4 linked regions of the Macaca mulatta genome follow. The protein of the gene in region 2 interacts with the protein of the main gene of each other region in a pairwise test. Links are inferred from orthologs where the notes say so. Each region holds a gene or a part of one and is shown on either strand. Other genes may lie near its edges.

Region 1 (4,133 bases), on a different chromosome or scaffold from region 2:
TAAAATCTCTGAGCTGCTTTTCATAGAGCTAGTCATATAAATTTATCATTTGTTAGCAAGTTTCCACGACAAAACGTCATGTGTTACATGTGCTGTCAGCAACATAAACTGCCTTTTATTGAAGTTTTCCTATCTTATCCTAGACTTGTTTTTAACTTTTTTGGTTTGTTGCTGTATCCTAGAGTAGCTGATTTAAATATTTTTCATCTTAGAAATCAGATAAAAAAGAACTTACAGTGATGGTAGAAACATATTATGAGAAAAAATATTGTTCAAAAACCCCTGCCTATTTCAAAGCTGATTCATATTCATTGTCAAATTCAACATGCAGTTCTCTCTCCTCAGAACAAAATCAGAGAGGCCTGACTTACGTGATTGGGGCCTGGTTGTGTCTGAGGCGGTGTTTGAGCCTGTGAGGGGTCAACTTGGCCTGCCTGGGCTCCTTGGGCAAAACTGGCCTGTCCTGGGAAGGGTATCTGATTTGGGAACAGTCCGGCAAACTGGTCTAGAGCTGATAAAGAGAATTGGGCGAGTCCTGGAATTTGAGCCTGCTGCTGCTGTTGTAAAACTCCAGAGAAAGGTGGAATCCATGAATTAAGTGGGCCCTAAAAAGACACAAAGGCAAGAAAGCATGTTCCCTTCATGCCAAAAAGAATTTAAAGGTCAGTCCTGAGCAAGAAAGAGACAAAATACAAACAATTTCTATACCTCCGATGTTGCAATATAAAAAAGGACAGGATCTTGATTCATTTTGAACCAAACAAATAATGTGAAGCAAATGCTAAATTCCCGACGGCCATGAGAAATATGGGGCAGGACAAGGTTGATAAAAGAGCACAACATCTGCATATGCCAGACTTGTTTTAAACCTTGTGTATTTTCCCCTACCTTAACCCTAAGCCCCCACAACCTGCTGTTACTGGTTAACTGGGCATGACTTTGTGTGAAATAATTACTTTTAACTATCTCATAGTTGTGAGAATTAGTGCCTGGCATATACCAAGTTCTCAATAAATAAGTGTTAATCAAATTACAGTTTTTACTTTAACCTTCAAACAAATGGTCACTAGAATATATGAGACAAATTCATAACATTAAAAATTGAGATTTCAGAAATAGGATCAGGAAACATTTTGTTTTCATACAAAATAACATAAGAAATGAGCAATAGAAAAATGTTCCCCATAAAGTAATTATTGAAATGGAGGTACCTGAAGTCGTAGTGGCAAAAGTTGACCATTATTAAGATTAAGAAGTAGCTAGAAAAGGAAAAATAATATGAAATCAAGATTACTACACACTAAAATGAGTAAGAACAATGTTTACTATAAATATAGCACAAGTCACAGCTGGTTGCTCAATTTCTTGTTAGAAATGAGACATTTTCTCACTAGGCTTACATTGAATTACAGTGATTAGAAGTTAGATTTAAAACAAGGTTTGGATTTAGCAACCTCTCCCCTGTTGGGTCTGAGATTGCACAATGTTAGCTCATTCCAGTGGTTTAGTCATTTTATGCTTTTAAACACCTATATACACCTGTATTAGGTGTTATTAGAACAAAAAGATATAAACAATATTGTATGTGCCTTTGGAGAATTAACAATCAAGCAAGGGAAGTAGAATAATATTTTAGAGGTAACCTATTATACAATCAAACATGAACATTAGAAATGTGCTTGGATATACATAAAAGCTAGTGGAGAGGAACACAGTATAAACCAAATGACGACATTTATCTCTTCCCACTTGATTTCCATTAAAAAGAAAGGAGGAGATTGTTTAACTATTTAAACTAACCTCATTGCTATTGCTGGCAGACATAAGACGCTGTGGGATAAGCTAAAAGTAAAAATGAAAAAGAAATCAGAAATAGTAAAAAGAAGGGATTGTTGAAGGTTTAACACAATGAGATCAGTAGTGCCATAAAATCACTTACTGGGGCTGACAATGTGGCTCCCAGGAATCCAAGAAGAATTATAATTTTCATTTTTGTGTGATATATCTAGAAAATAAGTTGTGATCTTTAGCTTTATAAAGACTTTACTTAAAATTCATGACAAAATAATTAGTATTGTTCAATCAAAGGAATAGTTGGGTGAATTCTATAGTATTTACTTACATTTTGGAATTTAAAATTTAAAAAGTTATATTTGTAAATTTCTACAATATAACTATTTTCTCTCAGACAAGCTGTTTATAAAAAACAAAATTGTTTGCTTGTCCTTTTAGCTTGAACAAAAAACTCATTTGGAGACATATGATGTGGTTGAATGCATTAACGAACAAGATGATCTCCTGGTGCTGCCCTACAAGGAGAGGAGCAGGCCCTTCAGACCATGGGAGGTCATGACTAGGGCTAACCAACTAGGGACTTATTATTATAACAACTTTAATGTCTATGTTGAAAGTACTTCAATAGAGATTTGACAATACCAGTCCAAAACCAGATAATTTCCACTTAGTAGTCTAAGAATAACATATTAGAACTAAGCAACTGAGTCAATGTTTTTGTAATTTACGGAAATAGAGTATAAAATTAAAGTGTGATGTTGATTTATGGTGTAACCTGTTTAAGTATATTTCTCTTATCCTCTAGATGTGAAACTTTCTTCCCTGGTTCAAATCATTGACCTAATCAAGCATTTAGGGTGAACTTGATAATCTATCCTGCAGAGTTCACTGATTTTGGTTCTTCAAATTATAAAAGCAAAGATTTGATATCTTACCTTACTCCTGGACCTATAAAGAAAAATCTGAACCATGCAAGATCTGTGTTCTTTTCCTCTCTCAGCTCTGCTGCTTAGTGCTTCTCTTAAATTTTAAAACTCATCTTTAGAAAAAAAGGACCAATCATTGTTCAAAAGGACCAGTGATTCAGTGGGTTTCAGACAATGGCTTAGCTAATAACCTCTTTCCTAATCATTTAGGTGGTATATGGATTCCCACACTTTCAGTAATGTTATTAAATTATCCCCTGAGAAATGTTTTCCTGTGATCATTTCTGGCTTCTGGTTTGGTTATGAGTAACTCTCCTAGGATAACTCTCCTAGAATAATTCTATTCTACTCTTTCTTTTATAATTCTTAAACTGGATACCCTAATTGAATAAAACTGGATACCCTAACTGAATAAAAGTTAATATCTTTAGTAAAGTCAAGGATAAATGGGTGATCATTTTTACTTCAAGGGCGAAATACAGAATTGTTAGAAGACACAGGTCTGAAAAGCAAAACTCCTACTTAGCAGAATTCTTTGTTTCTTCAATGCTGGGCTAAGTAAATGTGGGTTAGTTTCCTTTAGGTTTGACCTTGAAAACATCAGTTGATCTCCCTCTACTTACTGAATGCAATCCATAAAAAATTGCTACATTTCCATGTGTCTACGAAATGTATTTGTATATGATCATGTTGCTTGAAATAAGTAATTTAATAAATATAAAGCATGATGTCCCACATTTTAAAAAAATAGTGGTGAATACGTTTTTATTTAAAAATGTTTTTGTTATATATTTTAATATTCAAAATACAAGTAAGTATTACTATTTCCACATTGTTATTATTTAAATTTCCTTCATAATGGGAGTTTTGCATTTATTTGTAGTTTTTTTTGTTGTTAATATTGACTCCCCTCTAATAGATAGTTCAGGATCACAAGTGTTTTGACAACGTATTATCAATTAATTTTTATTATGGAAGAGTTCTTTTTAGCTAACTTAATCTTGAGCAACTCATGATAATCTTATGCAGGAAAACAAAATTATTGCCTTTTAGTAAATTTGTCTTTTTTGGTAGGATGAGACAGAGTTTGCATGGTTCGTTAATACTAAAGTAATTATACTATTTGTTATTTATCTAGTGAAAAAAATCCAAGTACATAAATCATTAGTTAGAAAAAAAGGACATTTTTCTTTGGTAAAGAAGAAAACCCACCATTAGGACTTTCTATCTATTAGAATGTATTAAATTGAATTAAGTTTAGCCTAAAGCTGCCTTCATACGTATTTTAAGTTTGACCTAAAGCTTTCTTATACTAGTGAACTGTAACCTAATGATGTTAAACAAACTGTAACCTACTATTTTAACAAGAAGCTGAGTGACAGTCAATCACAAGCAGCCAACTGTTCAAATGTG
Region 2 (3,500 bases):
GCAGCGATCTCCCCTCCTGTCCCTTCTCCGTCAGACTGGAAAAGGCTGGAGAGAGTGGCAGTGCCGAGCTCCATTCCTCCTGTTGCCATGCTGTGGGGAGCCGTGTGGGCAGGGACAGGTGATGGCTGAGCTCCTGCCCCCCTGCCGGCTGGGGCGCCCAGAAAGCCACGGGGGTCCCGGGGTCCCTCCAGGACAGGTAGCGGCCGAGCCTTTGTCTTGTTTGAGGAAGAAGAAAGGGTGGTGAGGGTGGCCACGTCCCCACCTGGCTGTGGTTTGGTTCATTTTCCCTCATTGCTGAAAGGCTGATCAGTGTGGGGATGATGCTTTCCCAGTGAGGTGAGGTGTCCGCTGGCCAGGGCAAGAGGCAGGCGTGGGCGTGGAGGAAAGGTGGGCCTGGCCCAGAGAGAGCCGGGAAGCGGAGGAGGCAGGGGTGGGTATGGAGGAAAGGTGGGCCTGGCCCAGAGAGAGCCGGGAAGCGGAGGAGGCAGGGGTGGGTGTGGAGGAAGAGTCGGCCTGGCCTGGAAGGAGCTGGGAAGCGGCGGCCTTCCTTTCTGAGGAGCCCCGGTCTTTACAGCTGGCACTGGAGGCTCAGTGGCCAGCCCCGTCCGCTCCGTTTCCACCACTGCAGGTCCTTGTTGCCGGCGTTGGTTCAGGCCAGAGTTGAAATGGCTTCTGTTGCCTTTAGGGTCCTCCGAGTGTAGAAAGGAACAAAAGTCCTATCCTCAGATTGGGGCTCTAGTGCTCCAGTGAGCCTAGCTGGGAGATCGTTCGTGCTTTTAAAGGTGAACGAACGGGTGCGCGGTGAACCCTTGCCCTGCTCCAGCTGCTGCTGCAGGAGGAGCTCTGTGCCTCGCTGGTTGCTGAGCCCTGCACACGCTGCCTGTGCTCAGGGCTGCTTGTGGTTTTAGGGAATGGCCACCAGGCTGGGAGGCGAGCTTTAAGTCCGGCCACACCGTGCCTTTGGGGTGTGTGTGCTGCAGTGGCTGAACCACTGTGCAGCTCCTGCTTGATAGATTGCATCTCAGTGTGTCCACCCGCATGAGACACGGGGCGAGGGGCCTGCGTAGCTGTGGGGTGGTGATGCCAGGAACCCTGGACGGTGGCCCCAGTACACTGAGGGTCCCCGTGCACCACACCTGCTGCCTGACTTGCGTGAGTTTTGTGAGCATTTTTTGGTGTAGTTTGTATGTGTGTGTGGTTGTCATTCTGGGCATCGGCTGCAGCTTTGCTGATGTCTTCAGTGCCTGTGGTGGCTGCTCAACCAGCACACAGTTCAGTGACACACTGGCCAAGCTGCAAAAGCATCTTGTAGAATGCCTGATAAAGGAGGAGGCTCAGACCCTGCAGTGTTCGGATCAGCGGGCGTGACATTTCGTGTAGTCCGTTCCCCAGATGAAGAGAATGCTGTGTGCCCTCTGGTCAGTGAAGACAAGCGTGTGCGGTGCAAATTCACGAGTTCTGAAGGGATCAAACCACCACCCCCCAGCCTGCTAGTTAGAAAACAGGCTCGGGTGAGATTTGAAAGATCAAGCTTTGATTTTTGTGTGGAAGGAACATGAGTTAGTGAAGGATGCGTCTCAGAGACCCCTGCCCTGCCTTCCCCGTGGCTGTGCCTGGGGACCCCTGCCCCGCCTTCCCCGTGGCTGTGCCTGGGGACCCCTGCCCCGCCTTCCCCGTGGCTGTGCCTGGGGACCCCTGCCCCGCCTTCCCCGTGGCTGTGCCTGGCGTTGCTGTTTGAGGGTTTGTATTTCCAGGGTGTCTTTCGGGACTGGTGTTTGCTGAGACCCGAGGGGGCCCCTCCCTGAGGAAGGCCGGTGGGATGCGTCGTTTTCTTCTTTCAGCAGGAGCTAGTGTGGCACTTCTGGAACCTTCCGATGTTTTTACCAAACTTGATCTTTGGTTCCAGGGATGCCCGCCGTCTGCAGCCCCGGCATGGTGCCCGTGGCCCTGCCCCCGGCCGCCGTGAACGCCCAGCCCCGCTGTAGCGAGGAGGACCTGAAAGCCATCCAGGACATGTTCCCCAACATGGACCAGGAGGTGATCCGCTCGGTGCTGGAAGCCCAGCGAGGGAACAAGGACGCCGCCATCAACTCCCTGCTGCAGATGGGGGAGGAGCCGTAGAGCCCCCGCCTCGCTGCCGTGTCACCCCAGCTCTTCGGACACGCCGACCGGGCGCTCCCCAAGGAATGCTGTCCCAACAAGATCCCCGTGACACGGCCCCTGTCGCCCCTCCCATGGACGTCTGGGCTGCCCCGCCCACGCCCGCTCTGGGTGCATGGGGGTTTTCGGTTCCTGGCGGCCCAGGACGGGGCGGGGGCTCCCTTCGCCTCTTGTGCTGGGAGGTCTCGGCGCATTCTCCTGCCCCCAGGACGTGCGTCTCCCCTTCTCATGCTGTTCTGGAAAATGTTCTTGCTGTAGAGAGCAGCTGCTTCTGCCAGGGTGTTGGAGGTGGTGGAGCGCCTTCTGATTCCATTCATGGCATTTTGTGATGTGACGTAATTGGAATAGAGCTGTTGATTAAGGCACACACAATCCCTCACACTGATTTGTGGGTTTTTTTAGAACTTCCCAGCCGAAAACTCACGTCCTTGCCCTAACGCGCTTTGCTGTGAGCCTGGCCCCTGCCCAGGGCTTGGGTCTGGTGAGCCAAGCCGCTTCCTGTGGATGGCGTGGGGCCGGCCTCTGGCCTGGCTCACCTGGCCACTGTCCAGCCAGCCTTGTGACAGACTCCAGCCTGAAGGCAGGATGAACCCACACCTGGCATGAGGAGGGGAGCCTGGCACGGTTGGCCGGGCTCTGCCTGATTGCCAGCCAGCGGGCATCTGAAGCCGGGTCCTTCACCCTCAGGAGGTTGCCGTCCGTCTGTCCTGCTGCTCACGCCAGCTCCGTGGTGTCCCCCCAGGGGGCTTCTCTTCTCAACAGGCCTTGCAAGGCTGGGGTGGGAGGTGATAGAGGCGGCATGTGCATGATTCTGAGAGGGTGTTGCAGCACTGCCAGCCGACTGCTGACGACAGCTTGGGCAGCTGCTGTGCCCGGGACCTAGGTTCAGTGTGGGCTCGGGAAGCCTGGCGAATGTGGCCGCGTAAAAGCTTTCTGAGGCAGGAGGCTCGCCTCACCTCTGCCTGCCTGGGCACCGCGTGTAGCATCTTGGTTTGCAGGACAGATTTTAGGTGACACCTGGTTATGAAAGTCAGGAATTTGAGAAACTTCTCACAAGTGATGCACTTTACGTAATCCGCATGCCATCGAGACGCTTGTGTGCGCACCCGCATGTCTGCCGTTTGTGGTTCAAGTGTCTGCCCCCAGCCTTCGGACGGAAACCCACTGATACGGACAGAAAGAGAAGGCCCAGTGGTCTTCTGTGGAAGATGCAGAAGGAGGAAGTTAGTGCTTACATTTTAGTCTTTTTCTCCCTCGAAAAAATAGGTTAAGTTTCAGTGTCAGCTAGAAAATACTGCTTTCCGCCACCGACTGGGGGTGGTTTTTGTCAAATATACTGT
Region 3 (4,047 bases), on a different chromosome or scaffold from region 2:
CAGTACAGAATATACATTAGAACCTCATTCTGTCCATTAATCATTTACCTGAACTGAAATGACCTATTGGCTACCTGGCAATGGGGAGCCATCATCATCTTTACAGTCAAGCATCTTATGAGCAATGGTGAACCCTGGGGCCTGGTAGGGTATTGTCCTTCACAGGTCACAGAAGGGCCAGCTGTTTCACACACCCTCTCCGGATAGAAAATTCAACCCTAACTTAAGTATCCTGTTATTAACAGTGACAGTTTCAATTTACTGAGCTTCTACTATGTTCCAGATACTATGCTAAGTGTTTTCATACATTATCTCATTTAAACTACATCACTCTGTGAATATGAATCTCTCTCTCTCTCTCTCTCTCTCTCTCTCTCTCTCTCAGAAGACTGACAAACTAAACCTCAGAAAGGCAACACAATCTTCTGGGGTCACACAGCCAAGAAATGGGCCAGGTCAAAATTCAACTCAGGTCTTCCTAACAGAAATAACACGCTCTTTCCACTTGCTATATATCCCTACATCCCTTATATTTGTTTTTGGTTTTTTTTGTTGTTGTTGTTTGCTTTTTTGAGATGGAGTCTCACTCTGTTGCCCAGGCTGGAGTGCAGTGGCACAATCTCAGCTCACTGCAACCTCTGCCTCCCAGGTTCAAGCAATTCTCCTGCCTCAGCCTCCTGAGTAGCTGGGACTACAGGTGCATGCCACCACGCCTGGCTAATTTTTTTTTTTTTTTTTTTTTTTTGTATTTTTAGTAGAGATAGGGTTTCACTGTATTACACCAGAATGGTCTCCATCTCCTGACCTCATGATCCGCCCGCCTTGGCCTCCCAAAGTGCTGAGATTACAGGCATGAGCCACCGTGCCCGGTCATACTTGTATTTTAAATCCCCTTTAACTTCTACCCCTCATCTACGACCTTGTCATTTTAAAGGTGTAGAGCTTCCTATTTTAAAGAGGACAGAAGAGAAAATAATTCCCCCAAGTGTTCTGGCTCCCTCCATTAACTGGCTGGAAATTAGTTTTTGGAGTGTGGCTGCCACGCAAGAGAACCTGAAGAGAGTGAGAAAGGCCACGAGGAAGAAGTTAGGAAGTGAAAATTCAGAGACTCTCCAGTGGGCAGCAAGGGACAAAATGTCAAAAAGGTGGGAAAACACTCTTTTGGGGTCCATCATGCATTAAAAAAGATACTATGCCAGAAAGTAAAGAAAGGCTCCAAAATGCTAATTAGCTAACAGGAGAGACCTCAATAAGTTCCCAGGACCCACTAAAGGCTGGAAAGTAAGCTAGAATTTCATAAGCAAAGCAGAAAATAAACAAATCACTACTGCCAAAATCAGGCCCATAAGAACACCAAAGATCCTGGCTCATAAAAGATGTTTTACCAGTCCTTCAACCAACCAGGAGGAACCCAGTCTTCAAACAAATTAATCAGCATTCTTGACTGATCAAGTGGCATAAGCCACTGCCTTGGGTGAAAAGGCAAGTTGCTTTTTTATTAAGGAAGTCCCATATGGTGGCCATTTCAGTATTCCTTTACCTACACTTTGGGCTTTCCTCATCCAGGATTCTGGCCATCTCTGGTGTCCCCAGGTGTCCACATCCCCTCTGTAGGATTAACAGATAATCCTGAATAACATTCTCTCTACATTGCCAACAAAAGATTTCAGCTTTGGTAAATATAATATGAGGTAGGGGAGGGAGCAACAGTCAAAGTGCAGAGTACTACAAAGAATATCAAAACTTGAGAAGTTTAAGGGACCTACCACATCTCATCTCCAAACACTTTGACAGGGGAACTTCAAATCAGAAAGGGCACAAGGTCATACGAAGTCACTGGCAAAACCACTGCTAGAGTCTGGGCTTCCATAATTCCCAGACCAGGGCTCTTGTCATTAAATAACACAGCCTCCCTTCTTTCCTGGGAGGCACTGCAGGCATGCCATCCCCTTGCCAAGATAATCACCCTCCAAGAGCCCCTCCTCCCATCCCAGTCCCTCCTACAGCCCAGCTGAGTTGCAGCTCAAATTAGCAAGTCCCGGAGCAGGGGGCATTTCTGGGAGGGTGCCCAGTCTGATGGTTGCTGGTACCGAAGAGGAGGGACAAAGATGGAGAAGAAGGTGACATCCCACAAAGGGTCTGGGAGAACTAGGTCCTTGGGGCAGTGGCAGCGAGCTTGCTGGGCTGGATAAAGACACATGCAGTGGCATCTCCCAAAGGGCATTGGGGAAGCAGACCAGCAGTTGGTACCACCTCTAGAAGCAAAAGGAAGGGCTGAGTCCTGATGGGCAGGGAAGCCTGGGGCATCTCCGAGTTCAAGTTGGGCCTCGGGGTGCCTCCTGGCAGAGTGGCACTGGCGCCTGTCAGGTGGCACCAGTGCCCGGGAGGAGGCCCCAGGACACAGATGCCCTGCCTGCCCGTGGGATAGCACCGGCACCCGGCGGAGGCTCAGTCCGCCCGTGAGGTTGCACCGGCGCCCGGCGAAGGCCCGACGACCAGGATGCCCAGCCCGTCTGTGAGGTGGCACGGGCGCCCAGCAGAGGCCCAGCCCGCCCGTGAGGTGGCACCGGCGCCCAGTGAAGGCCCGACGACCAGGATGCCCAGCCCGCTCGTGGGGTGGCACCCGCGCCTGGCGGAGGCCCAGCCCGCTCGTGAAGTGGCACCGGCGCCCAGAGGAGGCCCGCGGTCCTCACCACCCGGATCAGCTGCCGCGGTCGCCCAGCCTCCCGCCCCACACGCGGCCTTACCGAGGCACTGCCCCACCGGGGTGCTGAACGGGTTCCCCAGGAGGAACTCCATCTTGGGTGGACAACACGCAGCGGCCCGGGCCCCCTGTCTGCCACCGAGGTCTCAGCGGTAACCCGCCGGACTCCCGTCCTGACTGACACTTGCCCCCTCCCCACCCTCTGGAACGCCGAGCGCCGGGACCTTGGCCCCGCCCCCTTACCGCGTCTCTATTGGGGGACACCTACAAAGCCCGCCTCCGATTGGCCGTTACACCTCCGTCAGCAAAGCCCCCACCCACCCCGCAGCGTCCGATTGGGCCGAGGAGCGAGGTAGGTCACCGCAGTCTCTGTCAGCCGTGGTGGCACCTCCCCTGGCCCGCCCCCCGAAGAGGAAGTTGCGCATTTTGATTCCTCAGAATATTGGTCAATCTAAAGGATTCTTACTATTATTGGACAAAAGACGAGTCAATCACTCAAATAGCAGGACGGAACAGAGGTGAATCTAGGAATATCCCCGCCCATAGAAAGTGCTGATTGGAGAAACATTTGTTTTCTCTACGGCTGGTTGGTGTTAGGAGTGTTTCTCCACCAGGAGATGTGGTCACGTGATCTGTCAACTTTCACCCAGGATGTCTCCCTCCTGACTTCCCGTTAGCAACCAAGTCGCGGCGCTTGGTTCCCCAGCAACCGGGAGACGCGTCAGCTGCGTGGAACCAGCGGAGTTCCCAGCGCTTGAGAAGGTGAGACCTGGGAGCTGAGGCTCAGGGAGGACTCGCAGGGACAGACAGCGCCCGACTTAACTCTTTCCTGTGACCCTTTTCTCGGAGAACGCCGTCCCGGCCCCTCTCATAAAATGAGCACGTAGGTCCTCTCCCAGCCACTTTACAGTCGTGCTGACACAGCCAAGACCCTTTAGTCCTGGGCTTATCAAGCTTTTGAATAAAAAAGAAATACTAAGGGAGCATTTCCCGAGGGAGCAGGGCTAGAATCGACTTTTAAGGGGTTCCGTCTTCCAGCCTCCTTTCATAAAAGAGAGGTACCCTGTCCACTGATAACTTTTCCCAGAATTTAGCCATCATATCTGACCTCATAACTGTCAAATGATTTCATCTTGGTACTGTATAAACTGCTTTGGATGTGAATACGGATACTCAGGTTCTGCATCTGTCTCTGTCAGTAATTCATTGTATGACTTTGGACAAGTTCCTTTCCCTCCCTGGAGCCTCAGATTCCCTAGCTGGAAAATAAGGGCATTAGGATTTCCTTTTTTATAGCCTCCGGAGCTTACATGTACTTAAATAATGTTTGTGCACTGAGCAAA
Region 4 (4,196 bases), on a different chromosome or scaffold from region 2:
CTGAAATAATCTGCCTAGGCTGCACTAGCAAGTGTCATTAAGTGTATATTGCCAAAGGGCAAAGTGATTTTTTTTGGAACCGTTCTCAGTAATTCAGGAATCAATCAGAACCCAAGTTCAGAGTGCTGTTGCAGCAACAGTAATGAGTGATCTATTAATAAAGACTGCAAGCACAATACCTGGCCACAGGCCCAGGCCAGGCCAGCTAAATCTCCACCTGCCTGGCTTTCAGACAAGGGAACTAGGGCTTAGTGAGCAGCTACCTACAAGGTGAACTGCATAGTGCTACGTATTTTATCATATGCAATCTCATTTAACCCACTGTTAGAGATGATGAGACAGAAGTTGAGAGAGGTTAGGAAATTACCAAAGTCATACAGTCAGTATGAAGTAGAATTGGCATTCAAATCTACGTTGTTTGGTCTCACTGTTTGTTTTTAAAAATAATTTATTCTCTGGGGGGACAGGAGGAAAGAATTTTTAAAGGAGAGAAGTAATCCGTTGGTCTTAGGAGCCAAAATATTGGCATAACTCCAAATAATAGTAACATATTTATTCTCCTATCATCTTAATCTCACGATTCCTTCTAATTTTACCAATTATTATAACTTCAACCAATACTTGCAAAGACACTGCTTATCTCGACTACGTAAAAACTTCCATTGCATACACTTTTACTATCAGTGTTAATTGTTTCAAACTGGCACTGAGTAACTATCCAAACTAATAATAACAAGCATCTAAACTAACCACAGCTGCACCAGGCTGACCAGAATGTTTCTGCACTTGGAACCCTATCATTAGATAATCAGGCAATACAAGATGTTACCTGGAAAGGGTAATGGAACACTCAACATGAATGCGCTAACATCTTCCTAAGAGAAGGATAAGATCCCTAAGAATGAAAACACGGGGTTCTGGGGGAAATGGAGAAAAAACCAAAAAGGATAGAGAAGGGAAAGAAAGAATAAGGACTTGTTTCGGGGAACCCCAAAGTTTGGCTTGCTTTCAATCAAGGAAAAGAACCACTTGAGGCCGGGTGCGGTGGCTCACGCCTGTAATCCCAATCACTTTGGGAGGCCGAGGCGGGTGGATCACCTGAGGTCAGGAGGTCGAGACCAGCCCGGTCAGTATGGTGAAACTCCATCTCTACTAAAAATACAAAAATTAGCTGGGCGTGGTGACGTGCACCTGTAGTCCCAGCTACTCGGGAGGCTGAGAAAGGAGAATTGCTTGAACCCGGGAGGCGGATGTTGCAGTGAGCCGAGAGCTACTGCACTCTAGCCTGGGTGACAGAGCGACACTCAAAAAAAAGAAAAAAAAAAAAAAAAAGCAAAAAACAAAAAACAAACAAAACTTGAATTTGGCACCAAATGGACAAAGCTTATCTTCCTAGAAAACTCCCATTCACCCTTCAAAAGCCACAGTAGAATTCATTTCTCCCTTCCGGTAAGTTTTGTGTGTTTTGCATTTTCTTGCATTGCAAAGGTGCGGCACAAAACCGTGCGGTCTTCCCTACAAGAAAATGAGTTCCCTCAGGTTTGAGATCACGTCTCACCTTGGCCTTACCAGTGCCTGATCCAGGTCCAGACACATAGCTGACAGTTAGTCCATGTTTACAGAATTAAAAAATTAAGCAGATGAATTGCTGAAGTTTCTTTTGCCTATGAAGATACAGTCGGAACCCATTTCTGCTCAGGGTTCATTCTAATATCCAACAAAGCACAGCCATCAAGGGAAAGCATCTCCTCAATGGTAGCTACTCTGACCATTTTATAAGGATGTGTAAACTAAGGTTCTGTTTAAGTGGTGTGTTCGGTGTCACGGCAGTTAGTAGAGCTGTGAGCTAAATTTTCCAAATCTCGGCCTCTTTACTACAACTACTAGGTTCTCAAGATTTCATCACCCCACTAAGTTCCTGACATCATCACACTTTGCCTGGCATTAATATGCACTCGTGCCACACCCAATTCCCAAGGGAGGAATCAGGGAAAAGAGGGAGCAGTGAGCTGGTGCTTGTAAGAGTCCAATCACTGGCTTCTACATACATCATGCAAGGTACATTCGGAGGAGAGAGAAATCTTTTAGGTGGATGCCGGTGTAGTCCCTAGTGGCCTGCAAGAGACCTCCGTGCCCCCAGATGGCTCCTCTGTTCCCCTCCTCTTCACTCCAATGCCAAGCATTTTCATTATCTTTGTTTACCCAGAAAAGCAATCCAGGTTGTATAAGCTTGGCACTATTGAAAACTGGTTTGGGGAGACCTGCCCCTCACAGTAAGGTCACATCACTTAGTCTCCCAGAGCCTCCTCTTCTGTAAAACGGGCATAACAATACCGTGCCCTAGAGAGTGTGCGTTTAGGAATAACTTTCCCCTGGCCGACAAGTTTCTGGTGTCTCCTTGTGGAGGCCCAAATACTCCATGCCTGACTCCCGCGGTTCACCTGTTTGGTTCCACTCCCCAGGAGACATCGAAAGGAAGGTACATTTTTGAGGACTGCGGGTTCTAGAGTGAGTTGGCCAAGAAGGAAACGGACGAAAGGGGGCCGGGTGGAATGCGGGTGCCCTGGGAAAGTTGCTGGGGGAGGGGAAGGATTTTCTCCAAGTTGGACTAACTCCGTCCTCTGCAGGCCGAGAATGGATCAAGCAGGAAAGGATCCCACGGTCCCCTGCCTGCCTGGGCGTCTCTCCCCGCGCCTCCTTACCTATGAGGTGGCCCACGGAGGTCGCGTAGGGATCCCGGTGACTCTTGCCAAACGCCATGGTAGCTCCAGAGGGCCGGGCCCAGGAAATCCGCCTCCACCGCTCTCTGGCTCCCGACTCCACCCGCTCGGTACCCTTGGCTCCTCCTCTTCGCCCGAGCGCTTCCCTGGCTCTGGCGGAGGCGGTGCGTTGTGCGCTGCCGCTGCGGGGCGCGGGTACCGAGCGTGAGGAGCGGGGCGCGGGGCAGGGACGCTAGGGCGGGGCTTCGGGACGCCCCGCGCACCTGCAGCGCGCCCTGCGGGACCGGCAAGGAGGCGTCGCTGCCCGCTGCAGGTGGTACAGGCGGGCAGCGGTGGGCGTATGGAGCCTGCGAGAGTGGCGCGGCCGCCCGCTCGGATCCCAGGTGGGCTTTTCGCCCCGCGCAGGAGGAGCAGGAAGCCCAAGATCTCCAGCTTGGGAAGTAGAGACCCAGGCTTTGATCCCGCCGCTTGCTAGGCAGATTGTCACTCTTCTCTGCGCCTCTTTGGCTGCCCTTGGTAGACCAAAGATAATAAGGGGTTAATAACACAAATTCAGAATTGTGAGAATTAAGGGAAGGACGTAAACCGATTAGGTCGGTGTCTGGTACCCACAAAATAGTTAACCACTGAATAAATTGAATAACTAGAAATGTTTACCCTCGACCTGCCTTCGCCCTACAGATGCGGGAGGGGAGGTGTGCGCCCTGCCCTTTGAAGCTGTAGGTAATGTCTAGGAGGAAGGATTGGGTTCGAAGTTAGGGCTTCCCAGGAGCAGGCCCTCTTTGTGTCTCTCCTGTTTCCTCGAGGGACCACAGGGCGCCGCCACGCAAGCTCTTGTTTTCTAACCCCACTTTCTGGGAGCCGTGTTTTCCAGCCTGATTCTAAAAATGGGGGAGGGGCTTTCCGTTTCCTCTGGCAAGGAGGATGCTTGGTTTTAGGCCTGAGTTTGAGAAGCCCAACACCTTTCCAGCTGCCCTTTGGGAACCAGAATTTATTTCTTATTCCTTTGCATTCAATTAACATTGAATTGGCGATGTTAACAATCTCCAGCTGCCAGAGAGTGATGCGTCCCCAGGCCATGTCAGATAGCCATAGATGAGCTCCTGGTGCTTGTAGATCCTGTTTCCTATAGTCTAACTGGCACCCATTTCAAGTTTGTTTTTTAGCCCTGGATATGGTGACTAGGGAGACGAAGGGGACCTGTTTTGACTTATGTCCGTGGTCTTGTGAATTTTAATATAGAGATCAAAACCAATTGCCATGCACTCCAAGAGGCTAACATTTAATTATTTATCTCGAACTCAATTATTTATAGTTTTTCTTGACCGAAGTGAGCCAAAACCTGGGATTCTAAAATCTGGAATGAAATATTCTTGTTGTGATGATATTTCTCATAATGGGATTTGTCTCATCTGTAGCTAATATTCTCCACCTGCCTATTCAGGGCGAGTAACTATTTCAGATGGTGCCATTTAT

Evidence for each region.
Region 1: the proteins of TOLLIP (region 2) and ODAM interact in a two-hybrid assay, tested with the Homo sapiens proteins (2 studies listed by BioGRID and IntAct). The two-hybrid records come from large-scale screens. The link is inferred for Macaca mulatta from reciprocal best matches to the Homo sapiens genes TOLLIP and ODAM.
Region 3: the proteins of TOLLIP (region 2) and TOM1L2 interact in binary tests that used the Homo sapiens proteins (3 or more experiments, as listed by UniProt). The link is inferred for Macaca mulatta from reciprocal best matches to the Homo sapiens genes TOLLIP and TOM1L2.
Region 4: the proteins of TOLLIP (region 2) and TOM1L1 interact in binary tests that used the Homo sapiens proteins (3 or more experiments, as listed by UniProt). The link is inferred for Macaca mulatta from reciprocal best matches to the Homo sapiens genes TOLLIP and TOM1L1.

What each region holds. Positions count from the first base shown.
Region 1 is NC_133410.1:63,701,690-63,705,822, forward strand, and holds the start of ODAM (odontogenic ameloblast-associated protein), read right to left. Parts: upstream 2,801-4,133; 5' UTR 2,766-2,800; coding exon 2,730-2,765; intron 2,010-2,729; exon of another isoform or gene 2,006-2,009; coding exon 1,940-2,005; intron 1,843-1,939; coding exon 1,801-1,842; intron 1,260-1,800; coding exon 1,212-1,259; intron 606-1,211; coding exon 372-605; intron 1-371. UniProt on the Homo sapiens protein: Tooth-associated epithelia protein that probably plays a role in odontogenesis, the complex process that results in the initiation and generation of the tooth. May be incorporated in the enamel matrix at the end of mineralization process.
Region 2 is NC_133419.1:1,219,000-1,222,499, forward strand, and holds part of TOLLIP (toll-interacting protein), read left to right. Parts: intron 1-1,906; coding exon 1,907-2,121; 3' UTR 2,122-3,500. UniProt on the Homo sapiens protein: Component of the signaling pathway of IL-1 and Toll-like receptors. Inhibits cell activation by microbial products. Recruits IRAK1 to the IL-1 receptor complex. Inhibits IRAK1 phosphorylation and kinase activity.
Region 3 is NC_133421.1:19,534,498-19,538,544, forward strand, and holds the start of TOM1L2 (TOM1-like protein 2), read right to left. Parts: upstream 2,801-4,047; 5' UTR 2,800-2,800; coding exon 2,748-2,799; intron 1-2,747. UniProt on the Homo sapiens protein: Acts as a MYO6/Myosin VI adapter protein that targets myosin VI to endocytic structures. May also play a role in recruiting clathrin to endosomes. May regulate growth factor-induced mitogenic signaling.
Region 4 is NC_133421.1:55,064,556-55,068,751, forward strand, and holds the start of TOM1L1 (TOM1-like protein 1), read right to left. Parts: upstream 2,801-4,196; 5' UTR 2,761-2,800; coding exon 2,703-2,760; intron 1-2,702. UniProt on the Homo sapiens protein: Probable adapter protein involved in signaling pathways. Interacts with the SH2 and SH3 domains of various signaling proteins when it is phosphorylated. May promote FYN activation, possibly by disrupting intramolecular SH3-dependent interactions.